Linked DNA regions of Xenopus tropicalis. The protein of the gene in region 2 purifies or fractionates together with the protein of the main gene of each other region. This does not show direct contact. Links are inferred from orthologs where the notes say so. Each region holds a gene or a part of one and is shown on either strand. Other genes may lie near its edges. The genes, in order: drg1 and lrrc41.

Region 1 (4,364 bases), on a different chromosome or scaffold from region 2:
ATACACCAATAGGTCCGCACTCCCTTTAATTAATCCTTTAGGCAAAATGGGCAGGTGCTACATAGGGTTGTACCTTGTATATTTCTCCAAAAGATATGTGCACTCCAGCGTAGATCAATCAGCTTTATTAATAACTTACATCATAGCTCAAACATCCAGATGTTTGAGCTATGATGTAAGTTATTAATAAAGCTAATTGATCTACGCTGGAGTGCACATATCTTTTGGAGAAATATATATATATTATATAAAAAATATATATATATATTTTTATTTGTTTTTTGGGGGGGGGGAGAGGCTCCATTTCCTAGCAGATGTATTAGAGCTAACCCAAATAACTGATTCAGGCACAAACAAAATCTAACTAAATAACTGTTTATATAGTGCAAACTCATCTTCTTGGCAAAAACAGCAAAAACTGTTTATAGTCAAAAAATGCCTGGACCATCATTACTGCAATTTATCTTTTGGAGCCGGTTAGTCAAGTGAGGATGGGGAAATCCTTGCGTATGTTTTGCAAGAGTCATTATAATTACTTGTGGAGACACAATGGGGCAGTCCTGCAATTTTAATGAAAAACAGATAAATTAATCTGCTGAAAATGAAATGTACTGCTTTATTGGCATGCTGCCTGAGAAATAGGCACAGTTTAATAAACAGCTTGAAATACTGAACTGACATGCCTAATTGCAGGTTAATATGTGAATTATTTCTTAACAATTTGAATGACATCCTCATCTTCCAACACATGGTCTTTCCCAACCTTTTGAGGGTTGTGTTTCACAGATGATCCCCAAACCAAGGCACTGCAAGGGAGAAAAACATATTGGATTCATGAACTTTATTATGCACCTCTGTATAAAAGAAATATTTTACTACTACTAGGTATAGGACCCCTTATCCAGAATGCTCGGGACCAAGGGTATTCCGGATAAGGGGTCTTTCTGTAACTTGGATCACACACCTTAAAGTCTACTAAAAAAAAATCAATAAAACATTAATTAAACCCAATAAGGATTATTTATATCTTAGTTGGGATCAATTACAATGTACTGTTTTATTTCTACAGAGAAAAGGGAAATCAGTTTTAAATTATTTGATTAAAATGGAGTCTATTGGAGACAGGCTTTCCGTAATTTGGAGCTTTCTGGATAATGGGTTTCCGGATAAGGGATCCCATACCTGTACTACTTAAAGCGGTTTTGTGTTAAAGGCATGTTGTACAGTGACAGCTTATAACAAGTGTAATTGTGGGGGGTGTAAACAGATATTTCAGTCTATAACAGAAGAAAAATTATATAAAATGTCTGCTGCTTCCCCACTCCCCCCCCCAAAAATGTAGCATCTTAAATCCTTCACAAATATACCAAGCAAAAGGCTCCAAATTACTGGCACACCTCCCTGGTTTACTTGCACCTTCCTACCTGAGTTACTTAAATATTCAGTCCCAAATATCATGGATGAATGTGCAGAATATGTGGTGAAACAGATGGCTGCCATGAACTACTAGAAGACAACTTACTATTTGAACTCTTTGATAAGGTTCTTATGGATCTTTGTGCAAAAGTCTTCTGCTGCAGTACGAGAAAACGGCAACACTACAGGTGAAGTATAATCAGGCAACTGACCCTTAGGTTTGGTGTAACTGTAACAGGAACAAAAGGTCATCTCAATCACGTTTAAGAGCGTGAAATCATTAACTGGATTAATCTACATTAATGGCTTCTTGCAAACAGACTTACATTCGCACCAGTTGGAGGTAATCCCAGATCTTCTCAAGAAGGTCATCAAAATTCCAGCGGTGATGGGCAGAGATAGGCACACAGTGTGGGACTTTGTAGATGATATCCAGTTCTTCAACTGAAATCTGGTCAATCTTATTCAGCACATAGATGCAAGGAATATAAACCCTACAAGTAAATGAATAGTAGTCTACATTAGGTATGACCAAAGCTTGACAGTTCATTAACACCTCCTCTGGCAGTAAACTTGAACAACAAATTCAGTGCACTTACAGAGTTGCTTTATATTCACATACTCACCTATTACCTTCTACTACGTCTATCAGGTCATCAGCAGTGGCATCACTGCGCAGTGTGATATCTGCATTGTGGATCTTATACTCAGCCAAGATGCTCTTTACTGTATCATTATCGAGCTCACTCTGGGCACACTATGGAAATAAAAATAAGACCTTAGTTTTAATATTGGGTATTGTTATGTATCATTTACAAACACAGAGAAACGGAGTATAGTGCCAGCTGTAATCATTAGGTAACATAAGTGGCCATAACGCTCAACCCTGTTATATAACTAACTCAAAGAAGTATAAGCTCTAATTATACTTGTGTTTGTTGAAAATATTTTCTGCCTATTCTTAATTTGAAAAAAGAAATCTTATTTTACACAGATCATGTATTCTTTTAATAATAATAATAAAAAAAATAATCATATTTTACACAGAGCACCGTTTTGTTTTTACTTGTATTTCCTCCATGTTACTGTCTAGGTTACAAAATCCCAACAGACAATGGCCGTATCATCTCTATAGGCCTGCTGTATGATCCAATACTTGGTTATCATACCAACGGTTGGATAAGCCACATTTGCTAAAGTATATATTTTTGCATTAAAATCTGCTTTTAAAGACCAATGTGCTATTTCAGGTTAAAAAAGGAACTCATTATACAATGGGATTATCAGAGGAATTTAATAAACTAGGTAGTCTTCACCCCCCACAATTTCTTGCAAAAACAAGGCAATCTGAAACGGATTTCAGTTTATGTCTTTGCCCTAATGAATAGTAATTTCTTAATGAAACCATAAAACATTTTTTACAATGTACAGATATGGCTATAGTGAATAATGTGAATCTTAGAAATTATGTCTAAATGGGAGGGTGTGTAATCAAACTAAAGATTGTGCTTGTACAACACAGCCCACATTGTCATTCTGTAGTAACAGTACATCGTTACACTTTAGAGCAGTACAGTTTGCAATTAATTACTTCTATTACTGCTGTTGTCGCCTGGTAAGTGTTGATTTTCAGCTCCTAGGGAGCAAAGGGGCATTAGGTCCCAGGAAAGTACTTGGCAGTGCCATGTTAGTTAGAATTGGACTAGACCAATCATTCCCATTGCTGACATATTGTGGGGATTACAACACAATGGAAATGAAAAAGGAAAGCTCTCATGCCAGTCAGTTTAAGAAACGGATGCATTTTGGGAAAGGCTATATGTAATTTAACACCTCTAAACCAGGGGAGAAAAAATAAAAAAAATAAAATAATCTCATAACAGATTAATACAGTCAAATACAAAAGGAAAAAAAGGATGGATAGAAGTCCCTTACATATATCATATATGTAAAAATGCACATTATTTTTAATTGAAAGTTGGGATTTGCTTATTTAATGCAGCATGGAATTGCCTAGCCAGTATCCTAGCTGTCTGTAAACACTGTCCTGCTGTAAATTCACTTTCAAAAGGAAAATGTGCTTTACCTGGACTTGCTTTACCTTGGAAGTAAAAAAGGGACTTAGAAAGCTGGGCAGAGCATGAGGAGAGTAACATCCCTCCGGATGGAGGCAGTGAGTGATACGGAGAGGGTCATCTCACTGTGTCTGCTACTAGCATATTTAAATAACCCCCAGGTAACTCACTCAGCAGCCCTTACAGAAAGCTGCTGTGCCAAAGCAATCTTTTTAGTGGTGTAAGGATACAATTATCTTTAAAACACGCAAGAAAATTAAATGCCAAAAGTATTAAGAGGACAACTTTGACAACGTTTTCCATTTATGCCCCCTTAAATATGTTATAAGTTTGGTTAAAACACGAATAACTGAAAAATAAGTGATTGTGCCACTTTTTACAAGGTCTTGATTCATTCATTTTTTTCATTACAATTTCACTACAGGATCTTAAAGAACAAACAACTTTTCTGCTGGAGTAAACTGGGTGTTTTTAGAACAGTTAGCTGTTGAGAGGCTTTCCAGGGCTGCAAAAACATGAGGCTAACTCTCTGCATATATGCCACTAAATCATGCCTAGTATAACATGAGCCTGAGTTAATCATGGGATATTCTAACTAGCAGTTGCACAGTTTACTAGCAGTTGCTAGCATTTTTAGCATTGAAAACCATACATGCCCTTTAAAAACATCTGATTTTGTTTCTCTTCTTTCTGAGCCTCTTGGTTATTTCCCCTTTTATACCCAAGTCCTTTGCTTACTGTTGCTGTGAGGTTTATGCCACCCTTGTCTTTCTTCTTAAATCCAATGTTTGGAGGCTGCTTGTTCAATCTGATTCCAAATCCCTCCAGTTCATTCTCTATGATCTTCTTGTGTCCGAGTGGTTTCAGTACATC
Region 2 (4,576 bases):
TTTGGTCACAAAAAATGTTTTTTGAGCTATAAAGCGAAAGCAGAGAAAGTGAAGCTAATTTATGTTTGGTCATTGTGCGGTAGATCCTGCTAACACACCAGTCACAACAAAGAAAAAGGGAGAGGCTTTATACTGGTAATCTAATTATCTACCTCGCAAGGAATAAACATGCCCTTTGAATGACCAGCGCCACCAATAAATTAAAGCAGTGCTGTCCAACTGGCGGCCCGCGGGCCGCATGCGGCCCGCGACCCCCCTCTGTGTGGCCCCCCACCTGTCTGACTGCTTTGATGGCTTACTCTTGTGTAAGCTTTAAATGGTATCAGTACTGTGATTAACTGGCCCCCTGCATGGTTCTCACCTCAGATTCAGGCTGTAATCCCTCTGTATTGTTTAAAAATGTAATCCACTGTGTTCTTCACACCTTTTAATCTCTGCATTGTTCACCCCCTGCAGTGTTCACACCTCAGGCTCAGGCTGTAATCACCCCCATTGTTCCCCTGTTCACACCTCAGGAGCAGTAGAAACCCACAAATAATCCCTGCACACTACAAAAAGAACATATACTGAGGTGGTAGTGCAATTAAAAAGTTTTTTAATATATAGTTATTGTGCAGACTGTAGGAGTAGTGCCAGCATTGTGTCACTGTAGGCTGCCTGTGTGTGCCATACACACAGGCAGCATAGGGCAAGCAGAGTATGGCACACACAGGCAGGGTAGGGAAGGCAGAGTATGGCACACACAGGCCAAGTATGGCACAAACCAGCCAAGAATGGCAAACACAATGAAAGTATGGCACACACAGGCAGGGTAGGGAAGGCAGAGTATGGCACACACAGGCCAAGTATGGCACAAACCAGCCAAGAATGGCACACACAGTGAAAGTATGGCACACAGGCAGGGTAGGGAAGGCAGAGTATGGCACACACAGGCAGGGTAGGGAAGGCAGAGTATGGCACACACAGGCAGGGTAGGGAAGGCAGAGTATGGCACACACAGGCAGGGTAGGGCAGGCAGAGTATGGCAGGTTTTTGCTGTACTACAACCATTAATATGGGTATGGTCATGTGATAACATGGGTGTGGTTTCAAGTGGGTGCGGTTTCAAAAAGGGGAGTGGTCAAAACTGGCTTCCATTATCGGCCCTCCACCACGTAGGTCGGAAAAATTCCGGCCCTCAGTACAACAGAAGTTGGACAGCACTGAATTAAAGTATCATAAATACACACACAATATTCATTCAAATTGGTAATACACCTTTTAGTATGTAACAAAATGTCCTATTCTTAGACACTTTTTTATGTATTATCCAAAGTTCCATTAAATACAATAGACCAGATGGCTGATGATGATACAATAATAATAAATAAATAATAAAAATAAAACTTTTTTACATACACAGCTTAGTAATATATAGTATGTCAGGTTGAATTAATCATTTTGATTCTTTAAGATACTGGTTCTTTAATGCAGTGTTGCAGGAACTAGTTTTTACTTTTTAAATTGAAAACTGTCAAACCCCAATATAATGTTACTGTACAACCATACCTTTTTTAACAGCAGCTTGTTCTATTCTCTCAAGATAATAAATGTTTAATAGTGGCAGAATTCCTTGCAGGACAACAGCTGGCAGCCCTGTAAGAACAAACACTTCCACATAAGGAATAATCTTCTCCATAGTTTCTCAATGGCTTATATTCTAAAATCTCCATTACATTTATACATTTAGGGTGAAGTCACACAGAGCTACTAGTAGCAGCTACTTGTTGTGGCTACCAAAACAGACAATGCTGATCATTTACTGATAACTGTCTCTACATGTGTTTTAGCAGAGGCAATTCTCAGTATTGTCTATGGGAGGGTATTTTCCAGAGTTTAAGAAAAAGTAGCTGCTACTAGTAGCTCAGTGTGTCTTCACCCTTAGGGCTCTGGCACACGGGGAGATTAGTCGCCCGCGGCAAAACTCCCTGTTCGCGGGCGACTAATCTCCCCGAGTTGCCTTCCCCCTGCCATCCCACCGGCGAACATGTAAGTCGCCGGCGGGATGGCAGACACGGCGGCTCGATTTCGCGCAAATCGCCGAAAAAAAAATTGCCCCGCCGCGTCTGCCATCCCGCCGGCGACTTACATGTTCTCCCCGTGTGCCAGAGCCCTTAAAGTGCACAGGAAAGACAGAACAGCCAGCTTATTTACAGCAGCTTCAGGGTAATATCATACTGCATTAGCATCCATTAAAGTTGATGGAACTAAAGAAACCTCAGTGGTAGTTATGAAACCACACTTGCCTGCAATCCTCTATTTAAATACGAAAAAGGGTCCATCGCACACATATGCACAGTAAAATCAGGGTTAAATGGAAATATCTTTAAAGCAGAAACTTTCCATGGATCATGGATTCTTAACCTGCAACCCTCCAACTTACCCACTGTCTCTGGCATAATTGTACTTTTGGTTCATCATGAACCTTCTTGTAAGGATATAGATCAGTATTTATCTTTCTAAGAGCACCACCTGATGTGAATTCTAACGGCTGACAGAAACGACATACTTCCCACAGAAACCTAATGAGAGAGATATAAATGTAGCAATACTAGGGGCTCAAGTGGGATACAAGCATTTTACCACAACCCCCGTCTGTCAGTAGAGTACAGAGAATGAAAGGAATGCTAGTATTCCCCGAACGACACCAGGCAGTCCTGGTGTTTCGCTGGCTTACCCCAAACGTCTTGTTCCAGTTTCTCCATGTTGGCATTCACTACCCTGGCACAAAGCTCAAATAGGGTTGCCGTCCCTCCAGCATCTTCCACCGCATGATCCATGGCCTGGGTTACCCTGATCACCGCTACTTACTCATTTCAGGGGAAAACCGAAACCAAAAGCAGCGGACAAGTCAAGAGGGAACAGAGCGGGCGAGGAGCCACTTCTCAGTAAGGATAGAGGGCAGCCATCTTGAGAAGGTCAGACAGCTCTGTTTAGATCACGTGTCGAAGGTGGCATCGCCGTTAACTAGCCATCTTGCGAAGGTCAAATGCCTTATTGTGGCAGTTGATTTTTTATCATGTATCCTCTAAATTGCTTTATTGTTGATTGAAGAAGGGAAATTAAAAAAATCAATAACTAAAGAATATTATAGACTAATTGTCTCAGAATGTTATTGTCTACATCAGGTCTGACATTTTTAAGCAGGTCAGGAATGGCAATCTGTTCTGGCAAATGAGGATGTGCTGTAAGGTGCCATAGACTGGCTCTTTATACTGGGGCTGGTCAGCCCTACCTACTACAAATGCCAGTGCCTCTTTTGAATCTGAAAAGTGTATTTCCACTAATGGATAGACTCAAAAGTCTAGGTGACTTCTCATCAATGAATGTATCCCAGGAGATTGTTACAACCTCTTTAAATGCCTGTTACAGGGAGAATTTAGTCAGTGTGACTTGAAAAAAGCACTATTACCTTAGGTGAACATGAAAAATGTCAGTCCTGTTCTTCTACAATCTATAGCACTTTTTATTGTATCTGTGTATGTACATATGTGTGTATGTTCATAATGGCAAGAAGCCACTTGAATGAGTGGTGAAACATTTTTCAAAAAACTCAGAAAAGTCCAGTTGTTTTAGGCTTAATTCTACTAGATACTTCTATGCACACACCTACCAGCTCCTTTTTTATCTTTGTTTCAGAGCACAAGGTATTGAAAAGGAGTTTGCTTGATCTTCCTGTGCTTGCATGGGTACTCCTGTTTCTTCCCACACTCCAAAACATACAGGCAGGTTAATTGGCTCCTGATACACTTGTCTCTACTGTTTATGAATGTGAAAGGGACCTTAGACTGTACGCTCCACTGGGGCTGGGAATGATGGGAATTACCTACAGTATAATCTCTACAACAATGCTGCAGAATATGTCAGCACTATATGATAATATAATACATAGCTATGAATATCCTGTAAATGATATGCTTATAAACAGTGTTTAGTGATGACATCAGTTATAACCGGTGCTTAGTAATATCATTTTTGTCACATCTCCCTGAAACTTGTGTATTATAATAAATAGTGTACCCCCTGTTATAAAATATTAAGATATTAGGCATTTAGCCTTTGGCCTTGTGCTTTTATAAGGTCATGGAATTCCTCTGTGACTTATAATATCCATATATTTTACAATAGGTGGTACATTATTAACTACATATATATATAGGGGATCTTATGCCCCAATATCACTGAGAAGGTAATTATTTAAACGGCACCATGGGGGTCCTGGTCCATTGAGGTAATGGGGTTTTATAAAGTTTTTTAATAAGTTACAAATAACTATATACACTTCTTTCACTCGTATTCTACTTGTTGGATATTTTACTCTTAAAATCTTTTGAATGTATAATTATATTACGGAATTAATTATAATATACAGTGATGTTTATAATGCTTGAAAATTTATAGCGCATGTGTTTTTTGTGAAACCCTCTGGAGTCCAACTAACCCCTCTATTTTATCTATACAAATTAGATAAGTATGGGCCGTAAATAATTCAATATTGATACATGAATAATGTAGCTACGTGCCCCAATAGTAGGAG

The links.
Region 1: the proteins of lrrc41 (region 2) and drg1 purify together in Homo sapiens (affinity purification with mass spectrometry; 3 studies listed by BioGRID and IntAct, counting the BioPlex papers as one, with this or other methods). This does not show direct contact. The link is inferred for Xenopus tropicalis from reciprocal best matches to the Homo sapiens genes LRRC41 and DRG1.

What each region holds. Positions count from the first base shown.
Region 1 is NC_030677.2:152,075,760-152,080,123, reverse strand, and holds the end of drg1 (developmentally-regulated GTP-binding protein 1), read right to left. Parts: coding exon 4,230-4,364; intron 2,174-4,229; coding exon 2,043-2,173; intron 1,911-2,042; coding exon 1,743-1,910; intron 1,646-1,742; coding exon 1,523-1,645; intron 807-1,522; coding exon 707-806; 3' UTR 588-706; downstream 1-587. UniProt on the Homo sapiens protein: Catalyzes the conversion of GTP to GDP through hydrolysis of the gamma-phosphate bond in GTP. Appears to have an intrinsic GTPase activity that is stimulated by ZC3H15/DFRP1 binding likely by increasing the affinity for the potassium ions.
Region 2 is NC_030680.2:93,241,155-93,245,730, forward strand, and holds the start of lrrc41 (leucine-rich repeat-containing protein 41), read right to left. Parts: upstream 2,955-4,576; 5' UTR 2,820-2,954; coding exon 2,717-2,819; exon of another isoform or gene 2,540-2,716; intron 2,512-2,539; exon of another isoform or gene 2,439-2,511; coding exon of another isoform or gene 2,423-2,438; intron 1,636-2,422; coding exon 1,549-1,635; intron 1-1,548. UniProt on the Homo sapiens protein: Probable substrate recognition component of an ECS (Elongin BC-CUL2/5-SOCS-box protein) E3 ubiquitin ligase complex which mediates the ubiquitination and subsequent proteasomal degradation of target proteins.